Oryctolagus cuniculus: one gene and its partner. The protein of the gene in region 2 purifies or fractionates together with the protein of the main gene of each other region. This does not show direct contact. Links are inferred from orthologs where the notes say so. Each region holds a gene or a part of one and is shown on either strand. Other genes may lie near its edges.

The links. The genes of interacting proteins can lie anywhere in the genome.
Region 1: the proteins of ABL2 (region 2) and RIN1 purify together in Homo sapiens (co-immunoprecipitation; 3 studies listed by BioGRID and IntAct, counting the BioPlex papers as one, with this or other methods). This does not show direct contact. The link is inferred for Oryctolagus cuniculus from reciprocal best matches to the Homo sapiens genes ABL2 and RIN1.

The regions. Positions count from the first base shown.
Region 1 is NC_091432.1:5,519,995-5,525,408, forward strand, and holds the start of RIN1 (ras and Rab interactor 1), read left to right. Parts: upstream 1-2,061; 5' UTR 2,062-2,747; coding exon of another isoform or gene 2,748-2,820; coding exon 2,821-2,906; intron 2,907-3,032; coding exon 3,033-3,213; intron 3,214-3,304; coding exon 3,305-3,419; coding exon of another isoform or gene 3,420-3,501; coding exon 3,502-3,574; intron 3,575-3,670; coding exon 3,671-3,762; intron 3,763-3,854; coding exon 3,855-4,595; intron 4,596-4,748; coding exon 4,749-5,054; intron 5,055-5,296; coding exon 5,297-5,414. Other genes in the region: BRMS1 (breast cancer metastasis-suppressor 1), read left to right, coding at 315-407, 1,008-1,072, 1,235-1,274, 1,451-1,458. UniProt on the Homo sapiens protein: Ras effector protein, which may serve as an inhibitory modulator of neuronal plasticity in aversive memory formation. Can affect Ras signaling at different levels. First, by competing with RAF1 protein for binding to activated Ras.
Region 2 is NC_091438.1:7,420,321-7,425,683, reverse strand, and holds the start of ABL2 (tyrosine-protein kinase ABL2), read left to right. Parts: upstream 1-2,093; 5' UTR 2,094-2,327; coding exon 2,328-2,484; intron 2,485-5,363. UniProt on the Homo sapiens protein: Non-receptor tyrosine-protein kinase that plays an ABL1-overlapping role in key processes linked to cell growth and survival such as cytoskeleton remodeling in response to extracellular stimuli, cell motility and adhesion and receptor endocytosis.

The DNA.
Region 1 (5,414 bases), on a different chromosome or scaffold from region 2:
CTTTAAAGACCAGGGGTGAGCTGTCTGGCAGGCCCACGTGTACAGTGGCCACCCTCCCCGTGTGCGGTCACTGCCCCACCGCCCACGGAGCAGTAGGTCCGAGGCTCGTGGAAGTGCGGTGGCCCCTGTCCGTTGCTTGCCCACTCAGGAATTCAGGACCTCAGCAGCCCTAGTGGGATTCCGGCCCCCAGCCCGGGGTCCCGTCCCCACCCTGGGTGCCGAGGGAGGAGGGGAGGTCCAGGAGGCCGGTGTCCAGGGCGAAGGGTGCGTGTGGGAGCGGCCTGCGGGGTCCTGACTTGGGTCTGGGGGCACAGAGTGGTGGGATGACAAACTCCACGCCAGAGGCAGCGCGAAGACCTGGGACGCGGTGCCACCCAGCAAGAGGAAGAAGGCACCTCTGGTTTCCGGTATCCTTCCACGCACGGGGGCCCGAGACAGGCAGGTGTCAGCCCCGAGCTGGGAGTGGGCGGGTGGAGGGGACGCAGACCGGCCACCTTCGCTTGGTGACTGCCGTGGCGAGGCCGAGCCAACTGCCCGCACCCAGTGAGCCCCGCGGCGTCCGCGGTGAGGCCTTCGAGGCCTCCCTGGCTCTCCCGGATGCTGGTGGTGTTGGTCTGCGGCCACCGGTGGCAGAGTGGGCACAGGCGGAGAGAGGGGTCCGGAAGGCAGTGACTCGAGGGGTGGGGCGGAGGGGGTGAGGGCGTGGACGCCAGGTAGGGAGCTGTGGTTTTGGTGGGGAGGCCCCTAGGAGCGACTGGGCTCGGCCGGCCGGCCTGGAGGAAGGAGGTGAGGGCGAGGGGGGTAGGGGTGGTGCCTGGTGCCCTCCGTGGACTGGGTGAACCAGGCCCCGAGTCCCCCTCCCCACCACGGGGGACCAGGGGACTCCGAGGTAGGAGGTGGCTCCTGGGAGCTGCACGTGCACTGTCTGCACCGCCTCTGCTGGACACTGGGTGTGGGGCCGAGATGGCCACCGCGCGCCGGTCCTGCTTCCTTGACCCCTGCCGCAGGCCCCTACATCGTGTACATGCTGCAGGAGGTCGACATTCTGGAGGACTGGACGGCCATCAAGAAGGTGGGTGCCTGGCCCCGCTGCAGGCCGCCCCGGGGGAGGGCGGGAGGGAAGGTGGGAAGCCGGGCTGGGCAGATCCAGACCCGGAAGAGTCGTGCCACCCGCCCTGGCCCGCTCTCTGATGCGTGGAGGGCAGCGTCCTCAGGGCTGTGCTCACCCACGCAGGCGCGGGCAGCTGTGTCCCCTCAGAAGAGGAAAGCGGATGGTAAGTGTGGGGGTCTGCCTCGCCCCCTCCCATCCCCCGTGTGCCCAGGGAGAGGGGGCGGTGGCAGAGCCTTACTAGGTTGGAGGGGTTTGGGGGCCGGGGAGCGGGCGGTGCCCTCCGCGCCTCTGCGTCCGGCTGCCTCTGACCAGCGATGATTTTCCCTCCCACTTCCCCAGGGCCATGACTCTGCTGCCCCCAGCCAGGGGGTTCCCGGAGCAGCTGGCACTGAACGCAGGCCTCGCGTACTCTTGCTGTGGCGAGGCAGACAGACAAGCCCCCCGGGGTGGCCGCAGTGCTGCCGGGACGTCCCCCTCTGGCCTGCACTGGTCTGCATTCCTGCGCCTTAGGGCCTGCACAGCTGTGGCCCGAGAGCTGACCGGCCAGGCAAGACTGTCACCTCCGCCCCTGGCCACGAAGAAGGACCTTGACTCAAGCCAAAGCAGCATCCTGCCCGCCCCTCGGGCCCTGGCTCTCTGCAGCCTCCGGGCCACGGCAGCGGGCCCCACTGCCCGGGAACTCTGAGCCAGGTGTCCTGTGCGCCCACCAGGCCGGAGCCGGCGGTGAGACACCGGCTCCCCGGTTCTCTCAGGTGGTTCTTGGTGTTTGCCTCCCACTCGCCAGGACTGGATTAAAACCTCTCCTAGGGCTCTGCTGCGTCCTGTGTGTGTCTGATGGACCTTGGAGGGATCCGGTGTCCGCGGGCAGTGCCCCAGGCAGGCAGACCCTGCGCTGGTGCCTTCCCCCACTGCCCAGCAGGGGCTGGGGTGCGGGCTGGGAAAGGGGCCGGCAGAGCGTGTGGAGCACCCGGCGTGGCCAGCGGAGGGGACTGGAGCCTGGGCCCGGCCTCTGGGTCGTGTCTGCACCTGCCCTGCCGCTCGGCAGATGGGCAAGGCAGGCTGGCAGGGCCTGTGCGTGGGAGGCAGCCGGCAGCAGCGCCATGCGCTGCCGACCTCACAGCCACACTCCCCCTGCTTAGCGCGTGTCGGAACCACCCCCAGAACCCCAGTTAAGCAAAGGGGTTGGTTTCCATGGAGATGTGGCATCTTTTCTCCATGGCAACCTGAAATCCCCCAAACCCAGGTTGGGCCCAGGAGTGAGTCATCTGTGACCAGCAGGGGGTGCTCTCTCAACTGCTGACCACAGAGAGGTGGCTGAGTAACTGACCGTGAGCAGGACGAAGGTGCCCCAAAGGCGGGGCTTGTGGGGACTGAGTGGGCCCCACTTAACCCCCTCCTGCCCACCCGCGTGCTATAAGGAGACCAGCACGGCTGCAGGAGTCACCGTGTGGAGGTGGTGCCCCCCACAGCTGGGACCCTAGGAGTGGCGCTGGCGTGGAGGGGGATCCCTGCCCCTTGAGCCGAGTCCAGAAGCGAGAGGAAGCAGGGCACCGGCCAGCAGAGTGGACGCACAAGAGTTAACTGGCGGGGTGTGCCAGGGCGCACCGCCCTCAGGAAGTGTTACTCACCGCTGGGAATGTGTGCGCCTGTGCCTGGGGGCTGGATTCTCTTCCTGAGTCCCAGGAGAAGCCGGGTAGGAGCTCCCAGCCATGGAAGCCCTGGGGGCGCCCAAGGCAGCCCCTCTCGGAGCCCCCAGCCTGTCCAGCTGCCCTCCTGGCCACCAGGAGAGAGAAAAGTTAGTGTTGAAGTTGGAAGGGCGGCCAGGTGGGGCGGGGAGGGACGGAGGAGGTGGGGGGAAGGAGCAGGCAAGGGTCCCCCCTCCCCCACAGACACCCACTCAAGTCCGGGTGCTCACCCCCAGGCCCGCCCAGGACCCTCTGTACGACGTGCCCGATGCCGGCGGGGGACAGGCAGGGGGACCCCAGCAGCCGGGGCGCATCGTGAGCCTGCGGGAGCGCCTGCTGCTCACCCGGCCCGTGTGGCTGCAGCTGCGGGCCAACGCTGCGGCCGCCCTGCACGTGCTGAGGACCGAGCCCCCGGGGGTGAGTCCCGCCCACCCCTGGCGGCCGCTGAGGGCTGGAGGCAGAGGGGCTGCACCCAGGTCCTGAGCCTCCCGCACCCATCCACTCGCAGGCGTTCCTCGTGCGGAAGTCTAACACCCACCAGTGCCAGGCCCTGTGCGTGCGGCTGCCCGAGGCCAGCGGCCCCTCCTTCGTCTCCAGCCACTACATCCAGGAGCGCCCAGGCGGTGAGAGGCGGGGCCTGCCGGGCTGTGAGCCAGTGGGGAGGGGGTGTCCCCAGAGGTCGGCCTCACCTCCCAGCTCTCGCAGGCGTCTCCTTGGAGGGCTCGGAGCTCGTGTTCCCGGACCTGGTGCAGCTCATCTGTGCCTACTGCCGGGCCCGGTGAGTCGGCCGCCCTGGGGCCCTGCCCCCTGCCCCCCCACGCCAGGCCAGCCCGGCTGTGCCGCCCCTGACAGTCTGCTCCTTCTCTGGCTTCAGGGACATTCTTCTCCTCCCGCTGCGGCTCCCCAGAGCCATCCACCAGGCGGCCACCCACAAGGAGCTGGAAGCCATTTCCCACCTGGGCATGGGTAAGGGCCCTGCTGGCTGCCTAGCTGGACCCGCCAGGGCCAAGCGGGGAGGGAGCACCCAGCCCGGAGCCTTAGCCTCTGCTTGTCCCTAGAGTTCTGGAGCTCCTCCCTCAACACCAAGGCGCAGCAGGGGCCGCCCGACGGCGCCCGGCTGCCCCGGCTGAAGGCCCGCTCCCCTCAAGAGCTGGACCAGGGCACCGGGGCCGCCCTGTGCTTCTTCAACCCTCTGTTCCCGGGGGACCTGGGCCCCACCAAGCGGGAGAAATTCAAGAGGAGCTTCAAAGTACGCGTGTCCACCGAGACCTCCAGCCCGCTGTCCCCGCCGGCCGTGCCGCCTCCCCCGGTGCCGGAGCTGCCGGCGGCGACAGCGGCCAGCCAGGCCGAGAGGGTGCCCCCTCGCCAGCTGCTGCGGAGGGAGGGCTCCACGGGCTACCGCGTGCCCGGGGGCGCTGGCCCCGGCGTCCCCCCGCTGCCCTCCCTCCAGGAGGTGGACTGCGGCTCCCCCAGCAGCTCCGAGGAGGAAGGGGCGCCCCAGTCCCGGGAGAGCCCAGCGACCTCGCCCCAGCTGGGCCGCCGGCGACCCCTGCTGCGCTCCATGAGTGCCGCCTTCTGCTCGCTGCTGGCACCCGAGCGGCAGGTGGGCCGGGCGGCCAGGGCGCTCACGCGGGACAGGCACACGGCCGTGGGCCAGCTGGTGCAGGACCTTCTGACCCAGGTGCGGGCCGGGCCTGAGCCGCAGGAACTGCAGGGCGTCCGCCAGGCTCTGAGCCGGGCCAGGGCCATGCTGAGCGCCGAGCTGGGCCCCGAGAAGCTGCTGCCGTCCGAGAGGCTGGGTGAGGCCCTGGCCGGGGCTGGGTGCTTGGCCCTTCCCCGGCTGTGTCTGCCCCTGCCCCTCGCGCGTCTGCTGCCCTGCAAACCCGCCCCGCCTCGCCGCTGTCCTGCCCGCCTCCCTCACCTCCTCGCCCTCCCCCACCCTCCTCCTGCAGAGCAGGTCCTGGAGAAGTCGCTGCACCGCTGCGTGCTCAAACCCCTGCGGCCTGTCCTGGCAGCCCGCCTGCGGCGCCGGCTCTCCGCGGATGGCTCCCTGGGCCGCCTGGCTGAGGGCCTCCGCCTGGCCCGGGCCCAGGGCCCCGGGGCCTTCGGGTCTCACCTGAGCCTGCCGTCCGCCGTGGAGACGGAGCAGGTGCGCCAGAAGCTGCTGCAGCTGCTCCGCACCTACTCCCCCAGTGCCCAGGTGCAGCGGCTGCTGCAGGCCTGCAAGCTGCTGTACGTGGCCCTGAGGACGCACGCGGGTGAGCCCCCCCCCGACACAGCATGCATGACGGCTCGGTCAGCCCTCCCATCTCACAGATGGTAAAACTGAGACCCGAGCGAGCTGCGGCCCCTCTCTGTAGCCCCTCAACTCGGGCGGTCGCTACAGCAGTGGCACCGCCCAGGGCTGGGCAGGCAGAGGACAGATCTTGACCGAGGATGGGTCTGGGCCGCTGGGCTGCCCCGGGGGGAGCCTGAAGCCTCCGCCTCCCCGTCCCCGCAGGCGAGGGTGCCGGCGCTGATGAGTTCCTGCCCCTGCTGAGCTTCGTCTTGGCCCAGTGCGACCTCCCCGAGCTGCTGCTGGAGGCCGAGTACATGTCCGAGCTGCTGGAGCCGGCCCT
Region 2 (5,363 bases):
AAACAAGTGGAGTAGTTTGCCCAAGATCAAACAACTATGATGTGTCAGAGCCAAGTTTCGGATGTAAGCAGTTTAGCTTCGCAGTCCCTGCCCCTACTCATCTACTACTGTCCACCATGTATGAGTTAGCAGAGAAAGCAATTATTACTCCCAAATCGAAATTCTCCGATAAAAATATCAAGCAGTAAGGCAAATTCTGGCTCTATAATCTTTATCCCTTGTGTACAGACTTTTTTTCAATAACTGCAAAAACTTTGGAAATTACAAGAAAATAAGTATTTTTTTAAAAGATTTATTTATTTGGAAGTCAGAGTTACACAGAGAGGGAAGGAGAGACAGAGAGAGAAAGAGGTCTTCCATCCACTGGTTCACTCCCCAATTAGCTGCAACAGCTGGAGCTGTGCCCATCCGAAGCCAGGAGCCAGAGCTTCTTCCAGGTCTCCCACATGCGTGCAGAGACCCAAGTACTTGGGCCATCCTCCACTGCTTTCCCAGACCATAGCAAAGAGCTGGATCAGAAGTGGAGCAGCCAGGACCTAACTGGCGCCCATAAGGGATGCCGGCACTGCAGGCGGCGGCTTTACCCACTGTGCCACAGCAGCGGCCCCAGAAAATAATTAAACACAGGAAAACTTGGATCCAAACAGAAAGTTCATATTCTGTACTGTGCTAAAGCTTAAAGTTTCTGTACCTATTTTGGGGGTGGGAGTAATTTCAGTTATTCCTGGCCACATCCCAGGTAACAGTGGACTATTTCATAGCCCTCCTGAAGGATCTGTGTCAGCGGGTGGTTGATGAAGGTTGTATGAAAGTGAGTGGGTTGGCCGGCGCTGCGGCTCACTAGGCTAATCCTCCACCTAGCGGTGCCGGCACCCCGGGTTCTAGTCCCGGTCGGGGCACCGGATTCTGTCCCGGTTGCCCCTCTTCCAGGCCAGCCCTCTGCTGTGGCCAGGGAGTGCAGTGGAGGATGGGCCCAGGTGCTTGGGCCCTGCACCCCATGGGAGACCAGGAGAAGCACCTGGCTCCTGCCATTGGATCAGGGTGAACCAATGGCAAAAGGATAGACCTTTCTCACTGTCCACTCTGCCTGTCCAAAAAAAAAAAAAAAAAGTGAGTGGGTCATGAACTACACCTGTCTTTGCTTCCCCCCACCTCTGTTCTTGGGGGCTGTTTTTATTTATTTATTTTGCAATGGTTCCCATTACACATTTTAAAACCAAATGTAAGTGTGATGCCGCTAATAACCGACACCTTTTAATAAAGCCAACAGGGAAGCCGAAGGAAAGGAGGAGAATAACAGCCTAGTTCTTTGAGAAGTCAGAACAAGTGGATCGATATTCAGATACACAGCGTGGGAGAGGATGGTGAGGGAGCTGTGGGAGTAAAAAACACCCTTCTCCTGACTCATCCCCTCTGTTCAGACAACAGGAGCTAAAGACGAGGAGTTCTGACTCAGAAACGGGACCGAACATTCGTATTTCTTCTCCCTGTCTCCGCCAAAGAGGACCTGGGCTGGGGCCCCGTGCCTCGAGCACGCAGCTCGCCAGTGGGCGGTTTCGCGTTAGGGTCAACCCTCGGGACACAGAAACACGCGTGCTGGGACGGCCGGGGGGCTCCGAGGGGATTCTGGGCGGCGTGGGGCACACAGCCCGGGCACACCACTGTCCCTTCAGGTGAACTTCGTGCCATTCTGTCTGCAGGCCACGGCTACGTGTAAGCGGATCCCCCCGGGCCTTTCACGACCCTCGTGTTTCTCCGCCTCGGCGGCGCCCGCGGCGGGCACTCCGCCCTCGCTGACGGAGCTGACAGGTGCCGGCGCCGCGGGCAAGGCCCGAGCTGCACCGACGCTGAGGGCGGCGGTAGCGCGTGTGGAGCAGGCCGGCGACCGCGGACGCGGACTCGGGACCCGAGGCGGCCGTGGACGCGCGCGCGCGAGGTGGGCGCGGGGGGCCGGCCCGGCGGGGAGCGGGGCGGAGCTTCCGGAGGCCCCGCCCTCCGGGGGAGCGGAGGTGACTGGCAGGCGGGGGGCGGGGGGCGGGAGACGCTCTGCCCCACGCTCGCCCGGCGCTCGGTGGTTTAAAGATGGCGGCGGCGGCGGCGGCGTTGGGGGCGCGGAGCGGCGGGAGGGGGAGGGAGCAGCGGAGTCTGTGAGTCGCCGGGGAGCAGCGCGGCGGCCGCGGTGAGGAGTCCGGGGGCCGAGCCGCCGGCGGCCCCGGCCGCTCAGGGCCAGGGCCTGGGCCGGGAAGGAGAGGCCGGAGCAGCGCCGGGAGCCGAGGAGGAATGTGACCGGGGGGTTGGCGGGGGCGCGGGAGTACGCGAGCGCAGGGATGGGGCAGCAGGTGGGCCGCGTCGGGGAGGCTCCGGGGCTCCCGCAGCCTCAGCCCCGCGGGATCCGGGGCAGCAGCGCGGCCAGGCCCTCCGGCCGCAGGCGGGACCCGGCGGGGCGCACCGCGGAGAGCGGCTTCAATATCTTCACCCAGCATGGTGAGTGTGGCGGGGCGCGGGGCGGGGGCGGGCGGCCGGGGGGCGCGGGGCGGAGGGGTGCCGGCGGGTGGGGGCGGAATCGGCTGCCATCTGGGCCCGTCACGGGCGGCGAGCACACCCCTCCCCCCGCCCGTCTCCAGCCTGGCTGGCAGCTCCTGGGGGCGGTCACTCGGAGCTCGGGTGGACTGGCCTGTCCCCCGGCTCGGGGCCGTGCGTCGTCCGGGGGAGGCAGGGATGAGGGGAGCGAGGGGCTGCGTCCGGGCGGTGGGGGGGTGGAGGCCGGTTGTCAGCGGAGGCAGCCCCAGTGTGGCTGGGGAGCTCGGGCGTGCACCTCGGGAGACTGGCGGGGAGCGGTGTCAGGGTGGCGGGCTGCACGGTGCCCTGGAATGCCCGTCTTTGTAGGAAGGTGAGGGTGCGAGCCCCTGACTGTGTGTGTGTGTGTGCATGTGTGTCTGCCCCACCACCCTGCTCTGTTCCTTGGAGGACACGGTTCTGAGATGGCTGGCAAGGGCTGTAAGTTGGTGGGCATGGCTAGGACTTCCTTCTGGGTATGGGCAAGTTTTCCTTTGTAGCCTGTGTGTGTGTGTGTGTGTGTGTGTATGCCTATGTACGTATAGTGCTTGCAGATATGTGGCCTGGCACCTATCCCTTGGGTCGCGTCTATTTATCTTGAGAATAGTTTGTCTTCAAACCCCTTTGTTACGCACTCAGTAAAAATGTTGAGCGTATATTCTGATTTGTGTATTTTAGGCCGTTATGTTCGTGTACCGTGCTAATATGTGCTGTAATTCTTAAACGTATGCAGAAATAGAATTTAGGAAATGATAGGCTGAGAATATCATAAGGCTCCTGACCCCTCCCACCCCCCCACCCCCGCCTCGCCCCGGCCCAGTGGATCCTGTACACTTCCTCAGAGACATACTCGTGTCACTTCTGAAACCTCTTTGCTAGAGGGAATAAAATCAACATTGACTTGCCTGGGATTGAGGTCCCCCCCATATCCACGAAGGGCTGAAGATGGAGGTGTGGCTGGTGGAGGGACTGGCCGGTTGAAAGTGGCCGAGAGGGGCAAACTGGACAGTGACGGAAGACGGATGTAGAAGACGGTAAAGGGTAGAAGAGACGGGTTTCTGTGTCACACAGTCGAGGGAAGTGGAGGGCGAAAGTGAAGTGTGGATCCTTTGCTAGCAGTGGCGTTGGGAGAGTGTCATGGCTGATGGTAGCATGCACAGAAGGATGAATCCGAGGGTCCGTGACTAATAGCTGAGTTGTGTCAGAGGTCTGAGTTTGGACTTTGTGGTTACACTGAGTTTTTAAATTTTTAATGTATTTGAAAGGCAGAAAGAGACAGAAGTCTTCCATCTGCTCCTCACTGTCCAAATGACTGCAGCAGCTGGGGCTGGGGCCATGCCGGAGCCCAGAGCCCGAAATGGACTCTGGGTTTCCCAGGTGGGAGGCAGGGACCCCAGTGCTTGAGCCATCATCTGCTGTCCCCCAAGGTGCACAGTTGAAGGAAGCTGGAATCGGAAGTGGAGCCAGAACTCGAACCCAGACACTCTAGTGTGTCTCAGGTGGTGTCTCAACTTCTGCCCCAAACACTTACCCCACAGAGTGAGTGTTTCTTCATGGAGGAGATGTCTGTAACTTGGGTCTATGCACGCTTCAATTCACATACCTTGAAGAAACCTCAAGCACATCTTTAGTAGCAGACATATAAAGCGATGTTTAATATTTGATGCAGGTGCCATAGGAGTTGGTGGTGGTGGTGGTGGTTGTTGTTTGACAGGCAGAGTGGACAGTGAGAGAGAGAGAGACAGAGAGAAAGGTCTTCCTTCCGTTGGTTCACCCTCCAATGGCCGCCGCGGCCGGCGTGCTGCAGCCGGCACACCGCACTGATCCGAAGCCAGGAGCCAGGTGCTTCTCCCGGTCACCCATGCGGGTGCAGGGCCCAAGCACTTGGGCCATCCTCCACTGTTGTTTTTTATTGAAATTACTTCCTAAACCATGGGAGGAAAGAAAAGAGGAGTAGTTCTCAAGAGGATGGGCATTTGGTCCAGCAGTCACGATGCTGGTGCCCAGTGACTTAAGGCTTGGGCTTGATTCCAGGCTCCGGCTCCTGATTGCAGCTCCTGCTGGTGCAGGCCCTGGGGCCAGCACATGATGGCTCAAGTGTTTGGGAGGCCTGGACTGAGAGCCTGGCCTCTGCCTTCAGCCTGGCTGTTGGCAGGCATTTAGAAAGTGAACACGCCAATGGACGGTGTTTGTATCTCTTTGCCTGCCTATTTGCCTCTTGAATACGTTTTTTAAAAAAGTTTCCAGGGAAGAAATCGTCCAAGTAGCTTTGCTTTGTGGGAAGTGTTCCTGTGCGTTAAAAGTGGGCCACTGGGCCGTGGTGATCACCTTCCTCTAATATTCAGGACAGAAGATTGTCGGAGGAGGAAGAAGTCGCGAAGAATAGGATAGCAAAGACATGTTCGAAGGATGGATGGAATTTGGACCAAGGGAGCAGGAAAAGGCAGTCTGAGTGGGAACGGTGGGGATGGGCTTGATTTGTTGGTGGGACAGTGAGGAGACGTCTGTCAGGAGTGAACTTTGACCTCCAGCAGAATCGCAAGTCAGGTTCTATGCTGGCTCTAGCTGACTGGTGCGTTTAGTCATCACTTTTGGATTTCTTTATCTGTACAATGAGGTGAGGCAACATGATCTCTGAGATTCTTTGTCTTTAAGATTTTATGATTTTAATTGAGAAACAACAGAAAAAAACAGGTTGGATGGACTGGGTTATGGAAAATCTGGCAAAGAGGTTTGTGTTGGTTTGCCTGATTGGCTAGTTGATAGGATGTATCAGTAAACCCAAGTGTGAAATGTAAGACTGAGGC